2 linked regions of the Lepisosteus oculatus genome follow. The protein of the gene in region 1 purifies or fractionates together with the protein of each later gene. This does not show direct contact. Links are inferred from orthologs where the notes say so. Each region holds a gene or a part of one and is shown in the gene's direction. Other genes may lie near its edges.

The links.
Region 2: the proteins of l3mbtl1 (region 1) and anapc1 purify together in Homo sapiens (affinity purification with mass spectrometry; 4 studies listed by BioGRID and IntAct, counting the BioPlex papers as one, with this or other methods). This does not show direct contact. The link is inferred for Lepisosteus oculatus from reciprocal best matches to the Homo sapiens genes L3MBTL1 and ANAPC1.

Annotation. Positions count from the first base shown.
Region 1 is NC_090711.1:14,080,534-14,095,911, forward strand, and holds the start of l3mbtl1 (lethal(3)malignant brain tumor-like protein 1), read left to right. Parts: upstream 1-7,638; 5' UTR 7,639-8,301; coding exon 8,302-8,345; intron 8,346-8,723; exon of another isoform or gene 8,724-8,925; intron 8,926-10,049; coding exon 10,050-10,219; intron 10,220-12,608; coding exon 12,609-12,799; intron 12,800-14,064; coding exon 14,065-14,191; intron 14,192-14,511; coding exon 14,512-14,674; intron 14,675-15,298; coding exon 15,299-15,378. Other genes in the region: serine/arginine-rich splicing factor 6, read left to right, coding at 2,364-2,470, 3,229-3,383, 5,215-5,333, 5,650-5,852, 6,177-6,254, 6,358-6,799. UniProt on the Homo sapiens protein: Polycomb group (PcG) protein that specifically recognizes and binds mono- and dimethyllysine residues on target proteins, thereby acting as a 'reader' of a network of post-translational modifications.
Region 2 is NC_090712.1:2,589,718-2,605,086, forward strand, and holds the start of anapc1 (anaphase-promoting complex subunit 1), read left to right. Parts: upstream 1-8,423; 5' UTR 8,424-8,660; intron 8,661-9,569; 5' UTR 9,570-9,593; coding exon 9,594-9,806; intron 9,807-10,412; coding exon 10,413-10,574; intron 10,575-10,844; coding exon 10,845-10,887; intron 10,888-11,248; coding exon 11,249-11,349; intron 11,350-14,721; coding exon 14,722-14,804; intron 14,805-15,369. UniProt on the Homo sapiens protein: Component of the anaphase promoting complex/cyclosome (APC/C), a cell cycle-regulated E3 ubiquitin ligase that controls progression through mitosis and the G1 phase of the cell cycle.

The DNA of each region.
Region 1 (15,378 bases):
TGTCCTGTTGTATTCTTTCTCTGTTTGCGTATTTTCACAGTTTTGATTACACTGTTATGTTATTACACTGTTATTGTGTGACTGTCTATTATCTTATCTTCTGTTCTATTTATATACTGCACCTGAGTGACTAAGGACAAACACTTTTCACTATACTATGCACCTGTGTAAGTATAATGACACATAAAGTTGAATTGAAAAAAACAGACCACAGAGATTCCAACACATATATTCACACTAGTTCAAGCAGGTAGCTGGGCTACAAAGGAGCAAGTACAGGTTTATTCCATGCTGGAAAGAGAAGAAAAGAAACACAACATTTCACAACAATATTGTCTGTGATATTGCATTTCCTCCACAACCTTCAAAAACAGTTCAGAAAAAGCATTTTGATTATATTTTACTGAGTTACTGATTTCGTAAAGGAAACCCAGTCTTCTTAAATCTTGAACCTTTCAGCTATCACAGCTCTTGTACAGGGCTAGTAACAGGACTGCTCTCGATCCCCAGTGACACTGGGCTCTAAGCCAGCAAGCAGCTATTAACCTTGAAACCTGGGATCCGCCAGGGCTCTTAAAGACTGTGATGAAACCTTAGTAATGTTGTAATCACTATCACTGCAGACTTTAATTTCATTATCTGTTTGAATTAAAGCACACAAGAAAACACATGAGAGAGGCGCCTTTTCAGTGCTCCTAGCCTGTTATGTAGATAGCAACTGACTGATCTGGGAGTCTCATCCAGCTGTTTTGTGAAGGAACAGGATATCAGCTGCAATAACATGGCTGGGCAGCTTGTTCCACACTCCCACCACCCTTTGTGTAAAAATCTCAAAATATTAGTTCAATATGCACTGTCCCCCAATGAGACATAAACCAGTATGTCCCTTCTTTGGGCCCTGGTTCATGTCACATTAATGGTTCCAAAGATGTCCACTGGGTTTGCTTTTTTCCCTGGAGGATTCTGAACTGAAGTTAAAGTATTTTCTGTTCAAAACTTAAAAAAATCCAATTCCTTTAGCCTGTGAGTGTGGACCATTCCCCTAAACACAGGACTCTTCCCTAGACTCGTTCCAAGAAGCAATACCTTTCGTGAAAGACGGTGACCAAATGCGTACAATATTTGTATACAGTTTTTCATTCGACATGAAACCGTGCAAGAAACCGATGCAAAGAAACAGGTAAAGGTTTATGCCATGCTGAAAGGAAAACGAAAGAGACACAATGTTTCGGCTACGGAGCTTTTTCCACGAGTGGGCCGTTTCTTCTCAGCACGGAATAAACCTCTTAACTGTTCCTCAGCATTTCTTAAAAGGGAGTCACCGGCCAATCAGAACGTTTTGAAAACCTGCTCTAAAATAGTAAATGTGTTGTTCCCCCACTGCCACCTAGTGGTTTTTAAGTCGCTGTTGAAAGTGCACCAAAACGGTCGATAACGCTCGATAACTCGAGGTGAAAGAATCGACCTTTCTCAGACTGAAATCCGATTCAGTTTCTTGTTGCCCTGTAATGTATTCGTGTTAAATGTTACAGCCCATTATTATTGTTGTTATTGTTGTTGTTAATATCTGTTGTATATTTAGTCCCAAGGTATAAATATGTTTTTGCTGTTTATATTTATGTGGAAAAACAACTCAAACTTTGAATTTGAAATATCGTACTATTCCATTATTTGCCCGTCGCCACATATGTATCACGGCACGGACAGGTTAGAAACTTAATTTCACTTTTCGAACAAAAGTGAAAAATGACCATCGGAGATCTTCTATTAATAAAATGATATAACGTTTACTGTGCTGCCAGTTTTCCATTCTTACTAAAGTCGAAAGAAGCATATTACTATCTTATCAATAAGAAAACTTCATCTCATGAACTGTTCCAACTGCACGATTATTAGGTGCAACACAACTCCAGTTCTCTCTTCTTTTCAATTACTTTAGAGTTCATAAAACTTTGGGTTCGAAAGAACAATTAAACCTACGGACGCAGGCCTGCTGCTACGAGTAACTTGAGAAATACACACGGTCTACCATAATGATGGAGCAGTATGCACAGCATATAGAATTAAACTTGTATTTTCCCTGATTGATTTCTGCACGCAACCTGTCAAAACCTATGCGCTAAAAACAACTGTGTCTGCAACCTAACTTCACAGCCAGCCGGGGGCGCATGCGCTCTCCCGTGTCCTCGTGGCGTGTAGCGTAGCGCGTAGGGTGACGTAGGCGCCAGTATAAGTACCGAGCGTGAGCGTTGCGAGGTTCCTTCATGCGCCAGCAGGGAGGTTGGACGGTGGCTGTTGTTGTATAAAGGTTAGAGAAGGGCGCTTTCTTTCGTCAGAAGAGGAAGACGAAGCATTTCGAAGACATGCCCCGTGTGTATATTGGCCGGCTGAGCTACCATGTCCGTGAGAAGGACATCCAGAGGTTCTTTAGCGGCTACGGGAAGCTGTTGGAGATCGACCTGAAGAACGGGTAAGGGAGAGGTGGGGGTAGGGTGCGTGCGCCGACTGTTGATGCGTAGTTTGTGTTTACTGCGCTGTGGAAAAACGAGCGCCGTTTCACGGCTGGACCGGATTATGAGGCTTCGCAGTGTGGGAATCCCGTACTGCGAATTCGTTGCTTAGCTACCGTAAGAGGAAAAAAACAGCCGCCCGGTGAGAGATTGCCGCGTGGACAAAATGGCGGCCGCGCTGGAGACAAGGACCGTGAGGGGCTGGAGGGACGCGGCTCTCGGCGGGAGCCAAGCGCGAGTGCTCGCAGGCCCGCGCCTTCCCCGAGCCTGGACACGCCGCGCCGGGAGGAGGCGACCCGGCCACGCGTGACGCGCTGCTGGTCCGCAGGCCCGGCGTTTTCGGAGAGTGCGGACAAAGAGCGGGCAAGGGAGGATGTAGGCCGCGGAGGGGGCGCGGGCAGCCCGCGGCAGGCCCGTCCTGACTGGTATTACGGCAGAGGATCGATGCGTTCAAATGGAAGTTGCATCGCTGCGGGCGCAAGTCCTTTGTTTAAACGTGAAGAGGAGCACAGGTTTGGGCCAGGGCACGTTTGCTCTAACGCCAATCGTGTTTTGGTTAAGTTTGGGGGTGGCTGTGGTCTGGTGGGGGGGGGGGTGTGTGTGAGATTCTGCTCATGTTAACGCGCATCACGATGTGGAGGGAGGTCATGTTGATTTCGTGTTCACCTCCGCGCCGTGCATTGATCCGACAAACGTGACGCGTTTCCACCCCCTGCAGATACGGCTTCGTGGAGTTCGAGGACACCCGCGACGCGGACGACGCCGTGTACGAGCTGAACGGGAAGGAGCTGTGCGGGGAGCGGGTGATCGTGGAGCACGCCCGAGGACCACGAAGGGACAGAGATGGATACGGTGGGGGTTATGGCGGACGCAGTAAGTGCCGTCTACTGCCAAATCAAATAATCTGAGCATCTTTGACTTTTTGCAGATTCCTGGATATGTGCTGCCAGTTTACATTAAGCTATCTTACACACGTTGCTTGAGCAGTGGGCTAGGGAAACTGAATTTCATGCTTTGACCGTGTATTGCTTTGTAACATCTGAATGCTAGATTTGTTTTGGGAAGCTAAAAGTATCCTCTGACTTTTGCCAAGCTTTTCAGATTGCAATACACCAAATGAGTTTAACTGCAAATTCCTGTGTAGTTTTGTGGATTTCGTGTGTTGAAGAGGGTGACTTCTTAAATGACGTTTGCATTATTCAAACCAACAAGTTTTAATCCCATTCTAGGGTAATACTGGAGGGGTTACAGGCTCAAGAAGGGGTACCTGCGTTGTGAGGGAGGACTTGAACATGTTGCTGCACTGCCGTCTGAAGTTCACTTCAGCTGGATAGGCATGCGTTGGTCAAGTGGCATAGGTCCTGTGTAGGGACCTCTCTTTCCAGGATGTCGGAAGCCATGGAAGGGTTTGCAGTCCTGCAGTGGAAGGCCCCTCAAGCTAAAGCTCAGATTGTTTAATAGTGGGGGGAGAAGTATGTTAGGATAGGTCTATTTATATGGCAGCTGTGTGTTAATTTGGCCTTATTTAGGTGGTTTAGAGTAGTGGAGGATAGCTGCCTTTGTGTGTTGTGGACTTATTGTTTCAGGGCATTTGTATATGCAGCTCAGTGGGGATTGGGCTAGGTAGCAAAGTGAAGCTTAACCCAGAATTCCTAATTTTTCGTAGCAAAGTGTGAAGGAGTGCAAAGCCCAGCTGCCATGTAAATAACCTAAAAATGTGTTGCATTGTTTACTATTGAATTCAACATTAACAAAGTCCTTGATGTTTCAATTTGAAAGAGTCCAGTGCGGGCTGAGGCTGAGTCCGAGTCCATTGAGGCTAAGATGACTGCCTGTCCCGTTTGGCCTTGGCTTTCACCTTACAATGTGTGTGTGACCTTTGCCCTTTGACCCTTTGGCTGACCTAACCGGAAGCCATGATGACAGCAGCCTTTTGCCAATAGACCAGGGTGATGGTGAGGAATCCCATTGGTTTTTATGTTCAAACAAATAGTGGAGCGGTTAAAGCCAACGCAAGATGTTACCGCCATCTGTTATCCTGCTTTGTAAAAGAGCAGTTGGCTTCAGTTGCTGTGAGTCTGATTGGCTCAACCTTAGTATGGCAGTGGTTAAGCTTTATAATCATTGCCAGTAGTCTCACCTTGTTGTTAAGACATCCTGACAGCAAGCGAGTGGGTTAATGCCTACCTGTAAAATGCATTCGTGGTTTGGAGAGCCGAGTAACCTGAGTAAGTGACTTAAATCCTGTGATATTATCTTTTTGTGGGTTCATTACCCAGTGAATGGCAATGAACTGGTTGCATAAGTCCTTTAAGCTTTTGGCACCGTTTTAAGTGCATTACTGTTCTTTGGCCGGTGCACAGAGAACAGCAATGTAAACACTTCCTAGTATTTGTACAGTAACATTTGTACAGTACACAGGTTGGCATTTGACTGAAGATATAGAAAGCCACACCTGCCAAGGCTGCCTGAACACCATTTTCTTGTCCCAGAGTTAAGATGGAACAGGTTGTTTCTGTGGGTATTATCTGTGCATGAGAAAGCGGAGTCCACAGGAACTATTTTGGTGGACTAGAGCCAAAAATCTTTATCATGCGTAGTTGATATCCCGCTAGTGGCTGTTTTTTCCCCTTTAACTCCCTATGGAGAAGTTGCCAGCTCTCCATGATGCACTGCTGACTTTGTCTTCCCCTGTTGTTTGAAGGTAGTAGTGGTTACAGCAGAAGCCGCTCCGGCAGAGACAAGTATGGGCCTCCTGTCCGCACTGAGTACCGCTTGATTGTGGAGAACCTTTCCAGTCGCTGCAGCTGGCAAGACCTTAAGGTGAGTTCAGGGTCTTTTACCGGCTGGTTAGGGGGTCGAAGCCATAGTGTTCGTTGTAGCTCCCCTTGCAGTGGCTTGCTCACAGTCTTGACAGGTTAATGTTGTGGTTTAACATTTTAGTAACAGTAATAGAATAAACATACCCCTGTTTAAATAAAGGTAATTTTGCTACTGTGGTGGTGGAGCTTTTGTTGGATTTCCTAGTTTAGTCTGGTTTGATAGAAAGAGGCCATTGAAACGTGCCTTCATTATTTAATGGTTCTGTGTAGTTGTGTTTTCAGATCACCAAGACGCTTGTCCCTCATGCTCTTCGCAGGATTTCATGCGGCAGGCTGGAGAGGTGACGTATGCAGACGCCCATAAGGAGCGCACCAACGAGGGCGTGATCGAGTTCCGCTCCTACTCCGATATGAGAAGGGCTCTGGAGAAGCTGGACGGCACGGACATCAACGGAAGGAAGATCCGCCTGGTGGAGGACAGGCCAAGGCGCCGGCGTTCCTATTCTGGCAGCCGGTCCAGGTGCGGTATATTCAGTGTGGTGGTTCTGGACGGTTCCTCCGATGGCCGCGGTGTGCAGTCGGTGGCGGTCCAGTTAATGTCTGTCTTGGGTGCCCTTGTTTCTTACCCAGAGTTCCTACCCGGTTATCAGGCGTTGAGCATTAAGTTGCTCAGACATGCAGTAGTTAACCATACCTTTTGACTGGAAAGGCCTGCTTTGTGCCCGTTCACCTGCTGTGTCCGTGTGTTGTAATGGTGCCTCTCCTGGCGGTGTCCTCTCGCGGCTGCAGTTGATGAATGCTTGTTCTCATGGTTGTTGACCGCCACACCCTTCTGTCTGGGCAGGTCCCGCAGTCGGCGCCGGTCCCGCAGCAGGAGCCGCAGGAGCAGCCGCTCGCGCAGCAACTCCAGGTCCCGCTCCCGGTAAAGTAGCCTCCCTTCTAGATTCGCGCACCCTTCAGAGCATGGCTCCTCCGAGCACTCGACACGCCGCACCCCTCTCACCTCGGGCTCGTCTCCCTTGTAGGTCCCGCTCCAGGAGCAAGCGGCGGTCCCGCTCCAGGTCGGCGCGCAAGTCCCGCTCCAAGTCCCCGGCGCACAAGTCCCGCTCCCGCTCCCGCACCAGGAAGTCCCGGTCCCGGTCCCGCACGAGGAAGTCCCGCAGCCGCTCGGCCAGCAGGAAGTCGCGCTCCCGGTCCGCCACCCGCAAGTCGCGCTCCAAGAGCCGCTCCAAGGCCAAGTCCGACCGCGACTCCCGCAGCCGCTCCAAGGAGAAGTCCGTGGGCAAGAAGTCGCGCAGCCGCTCCCCCTCCCCCGTGGAGAACGGCAAGGGGGAGCGGGCCAAGTCGGCCTCCCCCTCCCCCTCCCCCCAAGCAGACAGCCGCCGCTCCAAGTCTCCGTCCAAGCGCTCCCCCTCCCGGTCCCCGTCGCGCTCCAAGTCCCGCTCCCGGTCCGGCTCGCGGGACTAGCGGCCCGGTCGCGGGGGCGGCCGCGCCATTTCGGAGGAGGGGGTGATTTTGTAATTGGTTTAAGCTGATCAAACGCAGCTCTGAGCGCTGAAGATTTGGTCGGTGGTCTTAATTTTTTTTTTTCTCCTTCATGTGCTTGAGATAATAGCTGCAGTTTCTAATGATAACTCAGATTTTTGTACGTTTGGCCTGAGACCATATGTGAGCCAGGATATGGGGTGCCAAGAGTTGAATACCTGATGAACTCTTTGATTTGTTTAATATTTTTCTAGGAGACATCGGTGTCACAGTCATAGTTTTGTGTATGCCTGGCTTGCTTGACCTTTTTTTTATTTCACTTTTTGATCGCCCCTGCAGTCCTGGTTTGAGTCAGTATTGGGTGTCCCTGTGCATCCACAACACCTAGGTTGTATCTGCATTTTAAAAGGCAATTTTTGCTTCCCCCCAAAAGTTCAGAATATCCTGTGGCTTGTTTTACCGCAGTGATTTTGATTTCTTTTGAGTCCCTTGCCTTGGTATAATGTTGACAATTTGGCTCCACCTTTGTTGCCACAGCAGTCAAATTGACATGTTCAAACATTTGGATCTTTTGAGACCAGCTTTGGAAAATTGGCCAGTGGTAAGGACTTTACCTGGATGTGTATTTCATGATGAGTTGCACTTTTTATTGCTAAAGTGTAATCCATAAATAAGCATGTGAACTTTTTACTGTACAGTTATTAAAGGTTCTTATGGAAAAATGTGAAGTTTGTTTTCTTTTTAGGTGTTCAACTGCTGAGAAACAGGGTAGTTAATGACTGTGGCTCGTTTTGTGTAAGGGAACTGGGTGCTGTGAAATTGCTTCATGGTATAGTGCCTGCAACACCTCTGAGCCCAGATAAAAAGTGGGGGGTCTGTGTGCAGATTTGCCCTAGGTCAATAAACCACCAGTTTTCATTAAAACTGTGGAAACTGAAGTTGCTTGTGCTAATTGGCTCTTGAATTTAAGAGTAAACATCAAGGGCACCTCATGTTGCGCGCAATTCAGACATTGTGGCCTCCGTGGGTTTAGGAATCGGTCAACTCCACACCAAAGCAATGAAGCGGAGTGTTGCAGACAGAGCTGGAGAAACAAGCTGGAAGCGTTATTTTGCGGCGGGGGCTGCGTCTGTAGTCTCCCTTAAGAGGTGCATGTGAGAAGACGGTGTTGCGATGTATGCAGGAAAGGCCGGGCTTGTACTTCAAGCGGCCCCTGCCTGTTCATCTCGATCAGCCGGACGCTGTGGGGAAACCCAGGAGGGCGAGAAGAGATGAGTGAAGACGTCGCGGGAATACGGGAGAAAAAAACCCGCTCTTAGGGGCTGTGATTGTGCCAACAAAAACATTTCCAATAAAGTGCGGAGTTTGACGGACAGTTGTCGAGTGTGAATTAAAACGCATACCCAGCGCGGTGAGTGTTAGCGGCGCGGCTGGGCTGTGAAGCCGCTGCAGTCCTGTGTGCATGCCCGGTGCGCGGCTCGCGCATGCGCAGTGCTGCGCCCGGAGCCGCAAGGAGAACCAACCGCTGGTAAGACCGATCGGTTCATTCACACACATTGTGCCGATTTATTATTTCTACATCTCGAAACGGAATAATAGCATGGGGTGTTCTAGATTAACTGTAGTCATAAGCATTATCTTAAGGTGTTGAGAAGGTTCTTAGTTTTCTTACATTTCATTAAGCATGTTTCATTTTTAATGTATAGTCATCTTATTATAATAAACCCATATTGATTAAGCTGTGGTTTTTTTGACAACCTCAGTTGTGGTATTTGGGGTAGTTTTCGGTTTCTCTTTTGTCTAGTAAATCTAGGGGGGAAATGGGGTTCCACTCTGCTGTTGCATAACGTTAAATTAAATATTGTCAGCAGTAGATGAAACATTCAACGCCTTGCACTTTGATGAAAAGCTGCATGTCGAATCCTACATCGCACAAGATTCTTGAAAGAGTTAAATCATGCCGCCATTTTGCTATAAATTGCTAGGGTTTCACATTTTAATAATGGTCCTGTAATTGGGGGAAGAAAGCAGACGGCTACTCTCTATGACAAACTGGTTTCTTTGTGAAATAAGGGACTGAGATGAAGGAGCTCACAGTCGCAGACGAGGTCGGTGCTGTGGACTAAGTGTAAAAAAATGGTTGTATTGTTTTTAATACTGCTTTCAAGGTTCAGCGCTCCTGGTGTCTAGCGTACTGCAGGTACCCTGGCGCAAAGACGGTATATAGTATATACTATTTAACAGTGCTGGAGAAACAGCTCTGCGCCTCTAAATATTTCGCCCCGTAACGTGTAGCCAGTGTTTTGCCTCACATGGTTCAGAAAGATGTTACGGATAAATCTTTGTCAGGACCGAATGCAAACCGCCACCGGTACCGGTAATGGTAATATGTTTATGAAATAGAAAAGCCCACGAGTTTCCGCAGTACTTCACGCCGTCTGGGTAATAATGTCAGGGGGAGAGACCGCCGCCTCTCCGCTAGAGGTTTTGAACGTGAAAGATGCGTTTGATCTAAATGGCGTTTCAGGTTGCAGCACATACAACTTCCAAAATCAGATCACAGCTGACTGCATTCCTGTGTCTAGCAGTGTAATTCGCTCAAACAATCGCTTTATGAACGCTACGATTAAACGATCCGGGGAATGCCAAGTGTGTTGCTCTCCGGGTTACTTGTAACTAGCCGAAGAGATAACAAAGGAGGCCATTCGACTCGGCTAGTCTGTAGTGTAGTTAGTAGTTAATTGATCCCAGGGTCTCCCCCGTTTCTTTATAGAAAGCAGGGTATCAGCTTTGACAATATGGGTGGGAAGCTTGTTCCAGACTCCCACAGCCCTTTGTGTAAAGTAGTGCATCTTGTTCTCAGATTTAACTGCACTTCCCTGTAGCAGAAGTAGAGTCCCCTGTTAAAGACATCCCAGACTACGTGCATTTGGGTACCTGAATGAAATCTTATCTGATTTATAATAAAATAAGAATACTTCTGTATATAATAGGGTAAATTCTCCATTCACTGCATGAAACCTGTGGAAAGAAAGTTACGTCACTCAAGAAACTGTTGGGAATATTGTAATTTCTTTCAAAATCTGCAACATCTGTTGCCTAATTTATGAGGCTTTTCTAATGATGAGGCGCTGGTTTGGGTGAAATCAGTCTGGATCGTCATCACAAGGGCTACCCGGGTGTCTCTGGGACACCGCTGTAGGCACTGACCCATACCTGCCTCTCATCACAGCCAGACGGTGGCACCAGTCCCCGAGGAGATGAGCAGGAAAGTGGGTCTTGAGGTGCTGGTGGTGGGCGGAGACAACCCCTCCACTGAAGGCAACGCCCCCCTCCCGGCCAATGAGATCTCAGTGCAGAAGACACGCCCCCAGGCCCAGACCACTGCTTTCATTTTGCCAGGTGAGGTCACTCCCAGCGGCACAGTCCTGTGCAGCACAGGGGCTGGTGCAGTATTAATGCTCTGCAGCTTATTCGTTGCAAGACATAAGAACTAAGTGATCCCTGACTTCCCTTTGCATCCATCACAGCCCAAGCAAAGAAAATATCAGCTCTGAGATGCCGTAAGGACAGCAGAAAATTATCTGATTTCTTCCAATTATATCCATGAAAACTATGGAAATGTTGACCTAGAGGTCACACTAGCCCAGGATGTCTGCATCGCAATAGCAACATTGTCAAATGACAGCAAAATAGACTTTAATTTTAAAAAAAAATAGTGAGCTTTGCTTTGTACTCTGTATTCTTGAAAAACCCATGGATTCGGAAAAAAACTTGCTGATCGCTCCTGAACTGTCTTTATGCAAACACTGTGTGCTGTGTGACGGAGACGTTGATTGAAAAGCTCTGCTCTTTGTCACAGGAGATCTTTGTTGCTTATTTTGGTTGCTTATAGGCGTACTGATCTGAGGATGGTGGGTACATCTAAGTTAGCCACATAGTTCTTCTGGAATCACAGCATAAATTTCTTTAAATTTGTAAAAGCTGCAAAAATAGAATATGTCAAATTTGCCCAGTTAAGCAAGTACTGTGTTAGCTTGGTTACATACTTGCTTAAGTATGAAGTTATAAACTCGGTGAACATACTGAGATCAGAAAGGTAGTGCTCTGTTTCATGTATTTATGCCGCTGTTCATCTTCACACAATTGTGATGTGATTCTTCTGTTCCGTTGTGGCCTTTTCTTGACTAGATCTCTCTTGTGCTTCTGACACACAGTGCCCCAGGAATGGCTCTCGAAGTTTCAAGCACAGCCATTCACACACAAGGCTCTCATTACACTGCTAATGCGACGCACATTTCCTGGGCACTAACGAGCCCACAGTCAAAATGCAGGAGAATGAAAGCTGGATTTATAAGCTCGATTAATAATAAGATAAGATCACTTTATTGGCCATATACAATTTCTTGCATTAGGAATTCATCTTTTTGCAGACTCCAGCTTGCTCTCCATGAGACACACAGACAGGGAGAGAAGCTTGGGGTCAGAGCGCAGTGTCAGCCATTGTACAGCACCCCTGGAGTAGTTGGGGTGAAGGGCCTTGCTCAGGTGCCCAACAGAGTAGGATTCCTCTGCCAGCCACAGGATTTGAACCAGCAACCATCCAGCCACAGGTGCAGATCCATAGCCACAGAGCCACTGCTCCACCTGATGACAAGCAGGTTGAGACCGATCAGCCACTATAGACTCAGATCCTTAGATGCTGACTTTATCCTTTTCGCTAAGCGGTATTTAGTCATTGTGTTATTAGCGATTTAAGATTCTGCACTAATAGCTTGATGAAATGTCCAGAAAGCTCATGAAGTCTCACGACAGCATCACAAATGTCTTCCTTAGTTTCTCCAGGTTTTTCAGAGAAATTAAGCTTAACATTGGTTTCTGGACTTGTTTACTAAAGTGTCAGCACTCGAGTTGCATGGCATTCTGAACCATGTGATATTATTTCTGATTTATTTCATTTTGTAGTGATTCATTTATTTGACTGCGGTGACTCACATTTGCATAACTGGGTGTTTCACTGAATTAATTTAGGTGATGTAGCCTTCTCAAGTGTAGAACAGCAGCGTTTCCTGTGGAATTTGAACCCGGAGCCATGTAGGTCCAAATTCAACACCCCTAACCACTGCACCACACTGCTGTATCAGAGGCAGGACATTTCAACACAGTGATAACATCTGTGAACAGAGGAATAGGAATGAACAGACCTCTGCTATTGACCTCTACTGCCTGTGGATGGTTGAAAAGCAAAACCAGTTTTATTTCATCACACCCTTCAGTAATGGCATTAAACGCAAAACTCCATTAAGAGAACTTAGAAACATAGGCCCGGAGAGACAGCTGTCTTGACTAGTCCCTTTCGCACCACACGCAAACTGGAAGTAGCCAGTGTGTGAGTCAGTAACAGGTTTGAAATATTGTTGTATCGGCCATTCAGAAACATTCATGATGGACAAAGAAAAGGCCACAGGTTCTTTCATTTATATGAGCAGTGGCTCATTTATAGACAGGGACTGATAGGAAACTTAATTTGTAGTTATGGGTTGCACTGATCAGCAGAATTCTTCAGAAAACAGGAAGAAACCTTAATCGGGCTTTCAGAATCTGTTGCTAATCAGAGTTAGTAGCTTGAAAAATGAAGGTTCTGTTTCTGAAAACCGATTGGGGGCTGTTTGTCCGTTGAGGGCAGGAGTCAGTTCGGCGCGCGTGGGTGAAAGGCTCCAGCGTGCCCTGTGTTGGAGGGCACGCGGCCCCCCCAGCCCAGTGCTCCTCCAGCCTGCTGTCTCTTTCCCAGCCCCCAGCTCCACTCTCGTGGGCGTGCGCAATGGGGAGGGGCCCAGGGGCCACATGGAGCCCCTGAAGGGGGGCGGGGCTGGAGAGCCGGTGACCTCCGCGCTGACCCCGCAGGTGGGCGGAGCCTGCAGCGTGGTCCACGTGCTGGAGTGGAAGGAAGGCGTGGCCGTGCTCCCTGGCACCAACCTCAAGGTATTCTGGGACTTCCCGCCTTGTCGTCTCCTGGGTCGCCGCACTCCTTGGATCTCCTCTGTTGCCAGTTAGCTCTCGGCCAAAATGGTGGCCTCTTGCAATGTGTAATCTGGGAAATATTTGTGGATTTGAGCTTTTGAAATTGGAATGTCAGGTGTTTGATATGAGGATGGAGCTGCATCCCCTGTTGTGATTGATGTGCTCATACCTCATACCTTTACTTCTCCGTTGGAAACTTCTAATTGGAAAGACAGAACATGTGACTGACTGTAACACGGGGTTTATCAGCCCTAATTCTGGTGAGCCCTGTGTCTGCAGGTTTTCATTGCAGTTGAGCTCTTGATGACTTAATCAAACCCTTAATTGAGAAAATATTTCGATTAGTGAATGATAGGGATTACTTTGTGTTTCCTAATCTTAAATTGCTTTTTAAGAACTATTGTATTCTTTCTTATGAAGAATAATAGCAATCAACTGGTTTTAGCAGAAAAAGAAAATTACGAGCAAACATCTAATTAGGTTTCAGTGAAGGTTTCAGTTAAGTAAATGAGAGCTCAGTTGGATTGAAAACCAGGCACTGGCCTCACAAGGACCAGATTGGGAAGATATACTGTAATGCCTCAGGTATGGTATTGTCTGCTTCTTTAATTCGTCCTAAGGGACGTATGGTGGTTAGCGCTACTGCCTCACAGCACTCTGGTCCTGGGTTTGATTCTGGACTGGAGTACCTTAAATGTGGAGTTTGGATGTTCTCTCTTTGTTTGCCTCCAGTGCTGTGCTCCGGTTTTTCTCACCTCTCAAAATCTGGAGGGTAGGACTGATTGGCTGCCCTAAATTGTCCTCCAGGTTTTGATCCACAGTTCCTCTAGCTGACTTAAATCCTGTATACTTAGCCTAAGCAGGTTATATTGGTAAAATAGCTGTAATAGCTGTTGATTTGTGGAACTAAACCAGAGGTGCAGAATGAGTGAATGTCTAGTTAAATGTCCCAGATTTCAGAACATTGACCCTTGAAATCATCATGTCTTGCAGAAACACTGGTGGTGAACGCTTGATGTTCAGAGCTTGTGCTCCTTTTCAGTTTTAAGGTCCTTTCTTGGAAACGTTCTTAGCTGCGTTCACTTTTCATTTTTTCATTTCCTCCATTTCTCTTGAAGATGCTCAGTGAGTGGTTCTACTTCCCAGTCGGTCTATTAATAGGTGTCCTGGAATATTTTCATCGCGTACTTACACGTGTACTGAAAAGGGGGTGGTGTGTCCCGCAGTTCCGGATGAATGACTTTGGCACGCTGGAAGTCGTCAGTGACAGGAAGGTGCCATTCGTTGATCCCAGTGCAGAAGGGGCTGCTGGGAAGGAGATGGAGACAGACGGGAAGTCAGCCCTTAAACCAGGTGAAGGGAGCAGGTTTCTGTGCAGACTCCTCTATTGACAAAAAGAAGACATTGCAGTATTTCTTTTTATATTTTTCTGCTGCTGACCCATTCAGGTTGGTGCAGGTCAAAAAGCTTGTTTTGAACACTTTATCCTCTTGTTGCGTAAAACACAAATATAATTGAAATATTAACTTGTATTTATTGGTAGAGAATCAGATGGAATTATCCCAATAACTTTGCCGTGTATGACTGTAATTTGTAAATAACTCCTGGTGATAGGTAACATTTGAAGTGAAACGTGTCCTGAGGTGCCTGACGGTTTCCCCCCTGTTCTCCAGATGGTATCTCCCACAGTCCTGCCACTGGCTGTCCACAGGAACCGGAACAGACCATTAAAGAGGAGCCGCTGCCGGAAGGGGGCTCTGGGAGCTATGAAGGCCGCAGCCCAGCAGCAGAAAGGGGCTTCACAGAGCAGCTGCGCAGGGAGCCAATCACAGACAAGTAAGAGCCTGAGAGCAGACGGACAGCCTGCGAGACAGGCAGGATTGTGTTAGAATGACCTTTCATACAGCTGACATTGCACTGGTGTCAATTCACCGTGACAGCTAAAGCTAAACAAGCTTACCCCCTGTTCAAAACATTCTTTGAGAGAAAGATTTGCAGCCGTGTTATAATGGGCATTTAGTTGCTCCTGTGTTGACCTTTTAAGAAAATAAGAAAGATTACAAAAAGGAGGAAGCCATCTGTCCTTCCTAGGCCATTTGGTAGCTAATTAATCTGAGGATCTGATCCAGCTGTTTATTGAAAGAAGCCAAGATATCGGCTTCCACATCATGGCTGGGTAGCTTGTTTCATACACCTACAACCCTTTATGGAAAAACGCAGCTCCTGTTTGACATGGATTTCCATGTAGGACATTCCTTCATGTCTAGAAAGATACCTGGATGGTCTCCTCTGAACAGATTCCACAAAAACCTTCACCTTTTTTTTAGTTCTAACTGTTCACTGAACAGGCACGTGCTACATCAGCCCTGACCGTCCCTGTAGTGCCCACACAGTGCCTCTTGTGATAGACTGCTCCACGACAGGCAGGACATCCATAGAGAAACCTGTGTCTTCTCTCAGGCCTGCAGATGTTGAGAAGGCCACGGGAATGCAGCTGGATGCTTTGAACCCTGAGCTGCTGAAACCAGTGAAGAAGAGGA
Region 2 (15,369 bases), on another chromosome or scaffold:
GCAGAGTTTAAAGCATTGTAAAGACATTATCCATGCTAATGCTTTCAGAGCATCATTAGATTCCAAAGCTGATGCCAAGACCCAAGAGAAGACGTGGAATTATAATGGGAGCAAAAGCCCGGCATGCATATCTCCTGAGACTACAGGTCATCAGAGTCAATGAAATTATATAATTTCTTCTGGGATGCTAATAAAATTGTATTTTGCATTTCCTTCAATACTAACAAGATAAATAGGGCATTTAAGAGGTATTATTAAATTCTTAAAGGATTCGCTGGCCGTCTAGAGCTTGTTAACATCTTTGGCCACATCTGTTGAGATGTGTCAGGATGAAAAAACTATATTATAAAAGAGAGACGCTGCCCCAAACAGGCTAGATTCCTGAACCACATGACATCCTGCGACATCCTTTATAAATGCGTGCTTTGACCTTCAAACATTGGAGTAAGATGGAAGAGTCTTGAGAAACTTTCAATACGAGGAGTTCCTGTCGATACAAGGAGTTCGATTTCGTCCCAAATATAAAAATATTATGAAGAGTTTTGAAACATATGAGGACTTATGAGGAAAGGGAAGGTCTTGTCTAGCTTACTAGAATTGGACAGGAATTTGGCAAATGATATTTTAAATTAGTAAATGCAAAGCAATCCACATAGAAACATGCATTCTACATATCACATGGATGATTCTGAGTAACAGAAATCTATGGATGAGGGGGTCTGGATAATGTTAAAGCCATATCAATACCATAATGGATAATATTCATCTATCACCTCATTAAGAGGATGTCCGTCCATCCATCCCTTTTCTAACTACGTTATCCAATACAGGGATCACAAAGGATTCAGTCCATCATGGGGTGCACAGTCACACTCACACCAGGGCCAATTTTCCCAGAAGGCAATTACCCTACCGGTATTTGGATTGTGGGAGGAAACCACTGCACCTGCAGGAAACCCACATGAACATACAAACTCCACGCACACAGCACTCCGGGAATTGCACCCAGGGCCCTAGCATTGCAAAGCTATCTACAGCGCCACTGAGCCATCCGTGAAGAGAATGGGGTCGAAGCAATAGGAAAGCAAAACTTTGAATTTAAAAACAGTGAAAGTTATGATCATGCTTTACAGTACACCAGTGAGGCCTTAATTAGAATAGTGTGTTCAGATTTGGTCACCAGACTGTTAAAAAAACAGTCTGTTTAGAGCATCAGAAGAAGTTTAAAGAAAAACAGCAAAAATTATTCCAAGTCTCAGTGGACTTTCATATACATTTAAATCTTTTCACTGATCATGGAAGATTTAAATTAGATTGAAAGAGACTATTTCACACTCAGTAGAGAAGAGGCATACGGGCCAGGTGGTTAGTGTCAAGGTCTGATGTCCTTCAAGAAACAGTTAGATGAAGTTCTAGATTCACGTGGTCACTAAACTACCCAATAAGCAAACCAAATAAAAGGCCTTCTTCTTGTCTGCAGTCTCTGCAATGTTGCAAGCAACAGTCATTCCATTTCCACCTGAGGCAATGGTGGATATTTCAGTTTGTAGATGTTGCTGTATTCTTTGTATTTTAGGTACCCACAAAAGTCCAACTATGTCCAAAGCATCTGATGAATTTTCTGAAAGCACTTGTCCATTGAAACGTGACTTCAAAGACTTACTCATGAGTGGGGAAGAAAGGCTCCTGGAATTTACTGCCCAGCAGTCTCAACTCTGCATTTACCAGTGCAGCTCTGTGAATATGATAAAGCAAATAATAGGATAAATGTTCTGTTGTGGATTCTGTAACAATAGCTCAGTGTTGTGTAAGAGTCACTTAGTATGAAGGTTCTTCGCCGCAGTAGATACTGATGCACAGGTCACTGTTTGTACTTTGTATAACTGCACCAATTAAAAGTAGCTGATAACATTGTTTTTTATTTTAATTGAATGAAAGGTCTTAACTGACATTTGGGAGGAATAACAATAGACAAGCCAGTCTCATCGAGCTGATCCCAATCATTACCGACTTTTCACTATACACAGAAAATAACCCTTGCGCACACCTCTTCTTGCATTTTTGTCAGATTCATTCTATATGTGGACTGTGCTTCAGCCAACAAGCAGGAAAATAACAATAAGACAGAACAAAAGAAAACATATGCTACTTGTCTTACATTTGGCTCATACGTTATTCATCTCTACACGGTCCGTGCTCCTCAGAAGTTCAAGCCACAAGCCTTCTTCCTTCGTGTTCTTTAATTTAATCTTGAGCCGCTCCTCTGCACTTTCTTTTGTTTCTATTCTCTGGTATTCAGCTTGGCTTTGGTTATCTCCTTCCCAGCCCCTCCTGCCCTTGATGCCATCTCCTTGGGCCCTGGCCTGTAAGATGTCCTACCTGTGGCTCAGCCAGCAGGCGTCCTACAGTTTATACAATCCCTGGTGTCCCACTCTGGCCTCAGGCAGCCCCCTCTCAGCCCCTGCTGCTCAGGCCCAGGGTCTGTCCAGCGTCCTACCTCTGGCTCCTTCAACAGGCATCCCAGATGTTTTAATGGCTGCCTTCTCTTTTAATGTAAACTCTGTACCGCCATGTTCCTTCTGTCTGTTTTGGGGATCGCTTGATTCTTTTGGGGTTTGAGTGACCCCCGGGTTTCTCCCTCGTGGCCCCTGCTCCTCTTGATACCATCTCCCTCCAGCTCAACCGGCAGGCATCCGACAGCTTTCAACGTCCATCTTTTCTTTTTAATGTTTGCATTTCCTATTTTACTGCGCCTGGCTGTTCCTTCTGTCTCTTCTTCTCCATTGGTGGTTTTGGGGTCCACTAGTTTGGCTTTTGGGGGATCAAGCCTCCTCTGGGTAAAGCCAAAAATCTATGACACTTAAATATTCAATACACATTCACAAAGCACCTTGGATGACATTATTCCTCATGAAATGGAAGTTCTTAGCAGCAGTTCGTGAGGGATAACGACAGACAATCCCAATCTCACCCAGTGGAATTATCGACTTATTATATAAATTCCTCTCTCACGTGGCGCTTCTCGCATTTTGGTGCATTCATCCCACCCCAACCACATTTCCACCTTTGCTACTGCCCCTTAATTAACTCCCCTCTCTGAATGGGGTGGAGGTGGGGGGGTTAGTCTCCTTGTCCTTTGGCCAGGATGCTACCTCTTAACCAAGTTGGTTAAGCCAAAACTTATTATACTTAATTACTCAATACATATTTCCAAAGAATCTGATTCTTGGATGTTTGGTTAGTACAGAACTCTCCAAAGCACTTCACAAATAGGAAAAGACACTTTATCCATCCATATTTATTTTTTTTTCTTCTTGGTAAGCAGCACAGTTTAAGAAAATATGACTTTAATATTTGTCCCAGAAGCTGTGTGTTCTAAGTTGTTGGTGTTATCTTGTCCTGATTTGTCCTGGACTGAGAAGACCCAATAAACGTGCAAATAGGCACGTATAGTGTTGCCACAGCCTACATTTGCAGCACAGAAAACATGAAGTAATAATGGAATAAAAGGGAGTATTAAAAACAAACTGCTGAAGTGCCTGACAGATGTGCAAGGTGGAATTGTATTATAGAAAAATAATAAGACCAAATAAGCGTTCTGAAATCTGACTTTTATTTCATTGTGGTCTACCTTGGGATTCTCACGAATATTGGAAGACTGCACAGCCTCGTTGACGGTACGAAGCTGAAACCCCCCTGTCCTTATTCCATTTCCATTGATCCAGCACGTTTATACCCGTGGACTCCTGATTTCTATTGCCTTGTGAAATCAAAGATAGATATAAATGCATAAACACATGTCGGTATACACAAAAATGATTATATTCAAGATAAACCCTCCAGTATCAAAACGCCGCAATACGAATCTGCTATCAAAGGTTTTTGTTTTATTAAAGGTCATTGAAAGCTGTAGAAGCCAAAATACACACCGCAGATATGCCTGGAAAAATCCCTTGTTCTGAGTTATTAAATCCTCATAAATATTCATGAAAATATACTCCAACGAAAGGTATTAATGCATCTAGGGCACGTAAAATAAAATACAGTTATATGGCACCAAAGACTTTTACGATGTTATCTTCACAGGCTACACCTTTGCTAAGAGTACAGGTAGAGGATATGATTTGCCTTGCATATTATGTGGAAGCAAACCTGCAGGTTGCAAATACTAGCTTCTGCTTTGGGATTTCAAACGTTACAAGGAAACCAGATTAAATCACTTTCCAACTGCAATAAAACAGCCCCCCGAAAGTCCAACCCCTTCCTGGCAGGGACTCGGGGGATCTGAATTTTGAAGGTTACGGAAAGCATTTAGACATGGGCGATCACGTTCCAGGTTTTTTTTTTTATTTCAGATGACATTTTCTTGCCCTGTTGCCGTTTTCTTCTCGGCCTCTTGTTGGGTTTGGCTACGATTATCTGACAGAGGCATTTATTATTGGGCTTCCTATAACCAGCTGGAAAGCCTTAACGCAAATGCTGCATGTTCCGTACGGCTTGGTGTAATTAATCGGCAAGAACTGTATATAGACTGTATACATGATTCCACCTCAATCTGTCATGTGCTTACCTCTTTCAGTTTTGAATGCGCTATTTTTTTCTATATCCTGAAACCTAATTAACAGATTTCGTGCAGCCGGGTAACAGTATCAAATCATTATTGTCGGTTAAGAACGGAGTCGCTGGCGTGATGAATATCATCTTATTTGACGTTAATGAGACATCTTAATTTTCACATGTCACTGATATTTTCCGTTGCTTTTGACTGACCATATTGGAAGAAGACTGTGCGCTGGGTTAACTAAACTTTAATTCACTTTGTGTCCTTCTCTAAAACCAACGTCTCAAGAGCGGAGGAGAGTGGCGGTCTGTGTGACTCTGGATTCAGAGAATCATTTTTCATGTCCGTTGCTAAAGGCCATCAGTAATGAAGTCAGATAAAGAAGAGAAGTTCTGAATTTCCAATCGACGACACAGCCCAGCAAAAAGGAAACGAGCATTTTATATAATATAACCAGTGCAAATTTAGAACTAGAACAATGTAGTCCTTTAACATACCGGTATGCTTGCTTTCACACTTAATTATTCTAGACCAAGGGATTATACATTAACGATGCGTGCAAAATGTAGAATTAGTGATAGCTTACCCCTCGCCTTCCGTTTCAGTATTTTGCATTTGCAAAATTTGTATGTACAACGGTACCTATTATTTTTTCTCGGAGGTATTCCATGTATGGCTCCTTCATCCAACGTTTCACAAAACGTGCGTAGTTTTTTTTACCTGATTTATCTTAACAACATACTTTCACCAGCGTGTAAAGAACCGTTCTGTTGATTCCTGGGACTTTTTCTTAAGGTTAGACTTCACAGAACTAACTCGCGTTAGTGCAAAAAACACTCCTCATTTTCCTTTCCAAACTGAGTCTACCACTTAAATTCCCTCAAGCATGTTTCGGCTATTTTTGAGCGAAAAACAAAATATTTCAGCATTTTACAATTAGCTTTGTGAGCCCCCTTGCTTGCAGCAAAATAAGAGAAAGTGTAAAACTTTAGTGTAGTGAAAACTAGAAACATTTTCGATTCCTCAAAGTCTTAATTTTTGAATAAATTGTAATGCTTTTAGATATTACATATTTACATATTTAGCACACAAATCTGTTCATTATTTGAACATGGGGGAGACATTTATTATTGTCATATCACTGTTAGGGTTGTAAATATTAAAAAGTGCTTCCAAACTTATTTCTTGTCTTTCCTGAAATGCACTTGATCTGACTGCCAAAATTTAAAAACAAGAGAACTATCGTCCTCAATCTATATGTTTGTTTTGGCTGACTTCAATTACGTTGGGCAGTGTAGCATAGTGGGTCTTTGGACCCCTGACTGCCAGGTTGTGGTATCGAGTCCTGGTGCTGGTGTACCTTGAATGAGGCACCGTACCCCAGTTGTTCCTGGCCACCCAGCTGTTCGGGGGAGACCAACATTGCTAAGGAGAGGTCCCTGCAGTGGACTGGTGTTTGTCACCTGCTCTCAGTCATCGATGAGCTCTGGGACCAATGAGCTGCTGTGTCTGAGGTTCAGACATCACAGCCCCTCTCCCCCACACCACCATGACATTAGCAAGGCTTGGCGGTGAGAGCAGGGAGGTTGCTGGTTTAGACTCTCAACCAGAGCTGTAGACGACCCATTATCAGATTTAATATGTGTCTGACTCACCACAGTTCATCCAACACGGTCGTGACAGTGATGACTTGTTTAATGAGCTCTGGAAAACAGGGACCAGATTTTCCCTCATGTCAGCAGTGTCAGAACCCTGCAGTGGTGGGACCTTTTGGTGAGTTAAAACAAACAGCGTGGGATAGGAAACACATAAATTGACTCATTACCTTTGTAATTCAGGATAATTATTTTCCTTAAACAGTGGTGGTATGGCATTACAAATACAGTTGCTATTAGTTGATACAGGCCAATATAAAACTTTTCACTCATGCTAATTTTAACAGTGTCTGCCATTCCTGACTGAAAGTTCTGGTTCTAACTGCAAGGCAATCCAGACCAGAACCAGTATTCTTCTTCCACCCTAATCATGGGGTCTTCCTCCAGCTTTCCGACCCTAAAGTGACATTCGCCTTCCTCCCTAGATGGCAGCAAGGAGCTGAGAAACACGTCAAATGTCAAGATGCTTTATTATTGCACATACGTCTTTTAATGAACACATTATTGCTCATTATTCCACATACGTCTTTTAAATGCAACGACATTTGGGTTGCTATAGAGTAAATTCTGCAATCTTTACACAGCAACTTGAAATTGTTCTCTTGTGATGAATATTCCAAGTCTACGTAGAGAGATTCAAAGGTAACAATTAGATGATTCATCTTTATTACAACATACAAACACAAAAATCTTAAACAAGGTACAAACACATTCTGTACAGGGGAGGGTGAAGATCCATTTGGTGTGCATAAATACCCCTTTTCTTTTTAAACGTTTCACGGCAATAAAACATGACAATATTCCACTTACTAAATTGTTCAAAACACATGTCTTTACAGATTGATTCTTTTTAAGGGTGACAAAGAACAGGAATGTTTAATCCTGGTCATGAAGGTCCATATTGATTTTTTGTTCCAACCAAGCTCTCAGTTACACAATTGATATCATAATGGCATTCATTTGAGCTATTTGACTGGTTTCAGACTGGTTCCAACATGATATGCTTCTGCATATCATGTTGGAACTGCTTTTTAACTATTCATATGTAGAATATGGATTCATATGAATCCATACTATTCATATGGATTTCATATGTAGCAGTACTAATTGATTGCATGAGTATAACACATGGCTATGGTCCAATCGAGCAATTTGTTAGTTCAACATAGTCTTCAGTTAAGTAATTAAGCTTGGCAGGGACCAGCAGGAGAGTGTGCCTTCAGGATAGGGCTTAAGACCTTCCCTCTCTCTCCCTCCTCTTTCAAGGACTGAAGCAGGGTTGTCCTCAATAGCACTGATGACTTTAAATTCTCATGTGCAACAGTGTGCTCATGTGGATTAGCTTGGCAATTCTATCCATCTAGCAACTGCATACTGCATGTGGTACGTTATATAATTACTTCATGCGTTTTAAGCTTGCATTCCGTCTTATCGAAAACAAGGTTTTCCATCTCTACTGTGTCAGTGCCTTGATTCATTGATACATAAACAAGTCTTGCAAGAAAATAATTATCTAGTCTATTGTTGGCAAAGAAATAAATATGGCCAATTAAAATTTGTATTAGGAAGCGATACAGTAATTACTACAAGTACAACAATGCAGATAAACTGTATTTGTACTACATGTATGTGCTTTTGAATCTAACAACCCTAATAATAAGTTTACCATGGCAATGTCTGCCAAAGTTGCTTTAGACAAAAACATGTGACACATTATTTAACTGAAAAGTGAGTGAATGCTGAGGATGTGAATAATACTGAGGCAAATAATAGTTCATATACTAAGGAACACTTTCCACTTCCGAACTAGCTGTAAGTTAAATCACTAGTTTATCACTGTATTTGCTCTGACAATCCTCACAGGACATTTATTGACCAGTAAGTTGCGCTTTGTTTAATTGGGAAGTCATTGTCGAGAAGGGATATTTCGAATGATGTTGATGCTTTCTCACGAGATCGATATCCCTTATTGCATGGTTTGTAAAGCTGTGGTGTTTTTGGATTCCACAGTTAAGCGGGTTTCTTATGAAAGTCTCTAGAAACGCCGCAAAACTATGAAATATTGCAAGCAAAGTCAAACATATATCATCTCCAATTACGCTTCTCAGACAGACAAACCCATCCCTGCATGAAATTACTTCCCTGTGTTGTCTACATACTGTAGGAGGAATATTCGGCTCGGCTGACGCCCGTCCGCGCTGTTGATTTTTCTGTGCCTTCTGATTGGTCAGAGCGATATGGCGGAGGCTCACGGGATATCAAGATGGCCGCGTCCATTTGAATCCCTGTGTTGTTATTCTTAGTTTTTTACGTCTGGTCTTTTTTCCCCACGGAATTCAGTGTTTGTTTTGTTTCAGTTTGTCAAAAACTGTCATCCTCTTATATTGAACGTAAATACATCAAGGGACTCCGAGATCCGGCGGTAGACGATTCGTTACTAACAGGTTTGTCCGTATCCCTTGTTTATTTCCTGGCACAGTTTAATAGCTATCCAACGTTCAGCTGTTTCCGAGAATGACGTTTTGCCCTCAACATTAAGGCAAAGTGCGTGCTTTTCTTGTTTTGCTTAAACTAGTCTTGCTTAATTAACACTGCTTAGATTGTGAATCTAGATGAAATGTTGACTAGTAACGTGCTACGACATGCCCACGTGTTCCCGTGTTCTAAAATATTGCTGCTGTCACTTATCCGTAGCCCTCGTTTATTATCTTTCTTCCACTATCTGGCTCCTAAAATATGTAGTCTGGGAAGTTGCTGGAATAGTAGGATGGAACAACACATGCATCCAGCCGCTGTTACTGCGGGTCACTTCTACATCACTGCGCTGACCATGTTGTTGTTGATATCATTGTTTATGCCTTTCACAATTTTGAGCAGTGCGCTATACTCAGAGTGCTTCACTCTTTTTTAATTAAGAAATCGGACAACAAACTCCTAGAAATCGCTCGTTTGCTTTAACCAAATGTAGAAAGCATTGATTGTTTTTCTGGAAAGCTCTTCCAAGATAGACATGACCTCAGTAAGTTCATCCCTACCCCAGGTTCTCTCTGACGGAAAGGAGGAGTTGCTTTTTCTTGTCAGCTGTTTAAAGTGCAGAGTGTTTTCTCACTTTGTAAAACCTAACTCTTAAACAGAACAGTATGGGCCACAAACATGAACAAACACCTACAAATAAAACGCTATAAGCAAATTACATCTTTTGTCAGATTATGTTGTTTTTGCTTTCTGCTCATTTTCCAGTTCCTGCAGCTTTTTTGGGGTAATTTTCTTTCAGATATGTTTTATATCCTGGGGGGTGGGGGAAACGGCTGGCTTTTATCCAGATCATGTTTACCTGTTGGCTTCCCCTGCAGAAATAATGCTGATATCTGGAACTCATGTCGAACGTCTATGAAGAGAGAGCCACAATGATAGCCGCAGGTGAATTGCAGGAGTTTGTTCCGTTCGGTCGCGAGCACTGTAAGAATCACCCCAACGCCGTGAACCTGCAGCTGCGACAGCTTCAGCCGGCCTCCGAGCTGTGGTGCTCCGATGGGGCAGCCGGGCTGGTGGGGTCTCTTCGGGAGGTAACGCTGCAGGAAAAGGAGAGGGTAATGTCTCGAATTTCCTTTTACTCGCCCCCTTTCGGATTTATTTCTGTCCTGCTGCATTTTGTGTGTTCTCTCATTTTCAACTCTTTTTTTTCCCCCACTCCCTGATTCTGTTCCCCACATTGCTTTGCTGGAAGTTTATTTCCAGGTATCCCCTGTCGATTTCAGGTGATGCATGTGGGTGTTTCTCTAACATTGTCGTGAAAAGCCATTTTGGTCAGGTTCTTACTTTTGGCTTGATAACGAGCATTTAATTGTGGCAGCTTGTGCTGCGTCATGGCATGTTAACTGTAACACTTGATTTATTCAGATGGATACAATATGCTTTATTGATAACATAAACATCCCAGGACAAAAGACTCTAATTGAGCTACATTATATCAATAATCAGTATCACTAATACTAGTAAGATGGTGTGGAGGAAGAGATGCCTGTTAAAATTAAACTTGCAAACTTTCATGGCTCAAATACAGCTGTGGTGGATTTAGTCAAAGTTTTCATCGTTATGGGTGTATTTTGTGAAATTGTTGGCGGTTCCTGGAATGCCAGTCATCATCATACCTGTGAAGAATGGGCTATGGATCATTCCCTTTCTGTTGTGCTCAGGAGAGCTGGCAGCTGAGGAAGGGAGCTGGTGGAGAGGTCCATGGGGTGGAGTTTGAAGAGGAGCTGTATGCGGCTGGGAACATGGTGATATGGAGCCGGGGGAGCAAGAATCAGGCTTCGTATGTATACAAGGCTTTCACCGTGGACAGTCCTGTCCTACAGGTACACATGACAAAGGAAATCCACTCCCTCCTATTGTTCTTAAGCCTCTACTTTACTCCCGTGGGTAAAGAAAATCAAATACATCATTCAGCCCCAGAATAGAGTTTTTCTCCTGTTTTTCGTGCAGTCTCATTAAGTCATTATTTTCAAACTGCTCTCGGTGATCCTTTTGTGACATGGCTAAAGCTCTTTGAACTGGTTATGAAAGTGTATTATGTTTGTGCTTATCGAGGTACATGGAATTTGAAATTGTTTAATGGTTTATTTCAGGCCTTGTGGTGTAATTTTGGTGTACCCGAGGAAGATAGAGAAGGTAATTTTGCTTTTTTTTTTCATTTATAGTTTAGACATTAAAACCCTGGGTCTTTACGTCGGTGTATCAGCTTTCATTGTGTTTGTTGGTTGTAAACATGCAGCACAGTATCAGGCTTCAGATATGACTGCGGATTAATATCCCAGATGAGCAGATGAAATCCTTTGTTTAATTATAAGGGTATGACATGTATGAAATATTAATCTGTGTCATCCAGGCATCTAGGCTTATGCAGCTCAGCCTATTGAAAAGGTTGCCTTTTGTGGCAGCCGAAAAGATTTGGTAGGTGCAATGAAGAATCGGACAAAATCGCACTCCTGGCCAAGAGACTAGATGATGCATAAATAAATTTTGCTTTCAGAACAAGAAGTCGTGGAGCAAACTGTTTGCGTTGTTCAGAGGACGTGTGTGAATGTTCACAGTATTACTGGGAAAGACTTCATCTCCCCTTTGCCCTTCCAGGTGAGTCACAGTTCTTTGGCAAAAGGATATCTGTTTTTTACATTTTTTATAGATTTCTTCTGATCTGTGCTTAGAGCAACAGGTGCATTTATTGTGAAATCATATGAACCATTATTATTGCAGAGAGGCCACTCAACTAATTGTGTGGCTGATTCAGGTAATTTTGTGCACCTGCATTAATTTAGGTTTTCCACAGCGGAGTATTTGAATTATCATACAATCAAGCAGGGTGAACTGGGCGAGAGCTGGGACAGCTGTGGTCTGAGGCCAGGATAGACTGCTTTAGCTATTCCGTTTCACTCCATTGCAGTGTTTTCTATAACTCTTTCTCAATAATTATAGGGATCTTTGGCACTAGGGTGAATTAAGTAATTCAGGATTAACTATTGTTCCTGAAATGGCCTGGAATGGAAAATCCCAAGTTGCATATGCCTCGTGTAGGAGATCGGTATCGCGTGCTGGCGTAATCACCGAGATGTTCTGTTGTGCAGCATTTGATCATTTACAATAGTTGGAGCTCCAAAACCTTTATTGATCTATTAATTTAATTGATTGGACATTTTTAGTTCCACAAACGGTTGATTTCAAGTTAACTTGCATGTCTGAAATCTCGAGCTCTTTAGGAACTGCTGAAAATACTAGATTTATAGTTGAACAGATTATGAGGCAAATTATGGTTGTTGCTTGCGTGGGGCACTGAATAAGTGTGCCTGCGAAAAGAGCATCCAAAAGGACTTCTGAAAACTGAGCAAGGAAAAAATATGGAAAACTACATGCATGATGCCATGAGTATATTCTTCTCCTGTAAACTGTTAGACTTTTGCAGAAGTTGCTACCACTTAGAATCAGACGTGAGAAATTAAATGAATGGAAAAAGGTGGTGATCTAATCTATTTGCAACCCAGTTGGAAACGAATACAAAAAGCGTCTCAGTCAGTCTGTAATATTGTTGTAATGCAGGTGCTGAAACTTGAGAATGAATTGTGCAGAAAGTAAATGAAACTAAGAGCTTGGAGTTTCACCTCCATCTTGCAGAATGTGCTGAACCTCAGTCTCTGTGATCTCAGACTTTTTCCTATCATACCAGAAACTGTCTTACTGTATAAAAAATCCCTTAACATTTACATAAGGATTCCCTTTCTTCTGCTAGTTGTGAACACAACACTAGTCATTCAGTGAAGTATTGTAAATGGCAGTGAAAAAATGAATGAAACGTGCATCCTCAGTGTCAGGATGTTCACACACTCTTGCACCACAAAGGTGCATTGATCACTTCTTTAATACACTTGTTTAATACAGTATATGATCCGTCTTTCACAACCGTGATAGAATCAATATCAGTTTATTTTTAGTACACACAAAATAAAATTTCCCTCCAAAACAGCCCATGATCAGTGTGGTGTTTATTTCATTGTTGACTGTTACGTAAAGTTAAGCACGATTAATTTACACACCGCCTTGTAGTGTTTTGTCAGAGATTACTGATCTATGACAAAATTGCTAAATCAGTTAGATCAGACCACAGGCACTATGAGTGATGCTCCCTTAACAAATCCTAATACACTAAAATAGATGACAAATATGGCACACAAGCAGAATAATATTGTGTTAGGCTTAGCCATCCTGTATGTACTGAGTGCCCAGGGGGATTACACTTCAGTCCTAAGGGGGGCTGGATGGTCTTCCAGTTTTGGTTCCAAATTAAGGTCTCAGTGAGCTGGATTCGTTTTAATTATTAGCTCAGCTGGATATATTTAAAAAGGATGAAGAGATTTCAATTTTATTGTTTAGTCATCTGAGCTTGATTTCATTTACAACACAACAAAATCATTTTGAGCAAACAATATTGGACAGGAAAGTGTAAAATCTGTTTAACAAATAAAATAATTAGAACATTTAGGCCTCCAATTCAGCCCTGCCTTGTATCAAAACTTGGTATCTAATAGGGCCCAGAGAGTCCTTTTAAATCTGTAACTAAAGATGTGAAAGCGTTGACTAGTTAAGGAGGTTACCTGAGTTTATTTACTTGCTAGAAAGGAAAATGGTCTCTGCGAAAATGATTTTCTTGAGGAAAGTCTCTATTTTTTACACCTTCTTATTGAATTACAGTTACTGCTCACTCCAGTGAAAACCTGCCATGCATGTTTTCTTTTGCTGCAGAAAGAGCTTGTGCCCACAGGTTTGCATTCGTGTCAGCTGATCTTTAAAGACAATGCACAGCCCTACTGCACTGGACTCCTTATTGATATACCTGGCCCAACCCATTAGAAACACAGCTGGTGGTGGTGTGAAGCTGAAGAATCTTGACAAGATGCTGTTTATTCCTCAGATCTCTATAACCTGACATGATGAGAATTTTCCTTTGACCTAAAATTGAAAATATTGAGATCCTCCATCAGTCACCCAGTCAGTGTTTTGTTAACTCGGATGGGTTTTTCCTGTTGTGCCAATTGCTTGCCTCCTAATTTTGTGACTTTAGTGCTGAAGATTCTGTCAGAACCCCCCATTCTGACAGATCCTGAGGCAGCTGTGCATGACGTCACATCCGGCCTGTTTCATGTTTGGTGTTCTTTGGAGCATCTGCAGTTCCTTTGTTTCGCCTATCCATTACTTTGGTAGAGGTTGATCTTTGTCTCAACTGGACTTAGAATGTTTGCTCTAAAACTCTACTGGCTCATCTTTGCACATCTGAACATCAGCATGGCCTTGGCATGCAGGGCCAGCTCTGCAACTCTCTCACTTCTCATTGCCTATAATGGAGCCATTGATGGTGGCGGCAGAAAAGCAGTGAATCAGTAGATGAGTCATCTTGAGACGTGAATTCAACACGGAGTGATTTTGACAAGCTGCAAGTTAAGACACCCCAAGAATAGGCAGGCGATTGCACACAGTGCGTGTTGAGCTCATTAATTTGCAGACTTCATGCATCGTTGTTACCTCTTGTTATAACCTCTACGAGAGATGTAACCTAATATATGAAATTGGCATAACTGAATGTGTCCCAGTACGTATGGTCACTTCAAATGTATGCTTGAAATTACCCGAAAATGAAGCACATTACCTTTTACTTATTCAAATTAATCTATTTACCCCATAATTGCAAATTCAAATTGCTTGACTGGAAATCAGTTTTTACAGTATTGTACCAATAATTTTGGAAGACACTATATAATATTAAGATTATGTTTATATGATGTTGGAGTGTTCAAATCCGAAACACTTCAGTATTTAGAAAACTTGTGGCATCATCTCATGTTTGACCCTGGATAGCATTTAGAGTGATTGTATTAGGGCTTCAACATTTTTTTCTAATCACAATCCACATAGATCAAGCTGAAAAACAGTGGGGATATTTTTCTGTTTTTCTCTAAGGTATCAGCTGTGTGGCCGACCAAGTTTGGCTTGCTGTTTGAACGTAAAAATCCTACTTCTGATTTCCCACAGAGTCCTCCAAGGTAATAATATTTACTTTAAGTTGTGCATTTTCATTTTACTCTTGGATGCAATAGGTTTTCGCAATAAATGACTGCTATAGGTTGACCTCTATGAAAGGTAGAATATTCCTTTATGTCCATCTCTTATTCCCCCTTACTTTAAATTGATAATTGATATTCGCATCTGTGTTTCTAATCAGGACAAAATAATTATCCTCCTTATTAGTATTAGATGAAGCAGCTCACATTATCCTGCTATTTAGTCATTAAGATTTTGATCTTCAAAAAGCGAGTTAGGAGAAGCTGTTAGCTAGTGGATCCATCCAAAGTGTGTGGTATTGACTGTCACTCTAAACATGTTTTCACCAAAGCAAATTTAATGAAGAGTTCACCATTGTGGTTTAATGGCTAAATTAGAAAATGTATTATCTCCCAGTCTTATGAACTAAAATCCCTGATTGACAAATGGTTTGCAAAGAAAACAATGAAATGATATCGGAGACATGCATGCTATGTTTTATTTTTAACGTGGGGCTTCTGTGTGTTAATGTTGAATATTATTGTGCAGTTTTTAGATCTTTCTTCT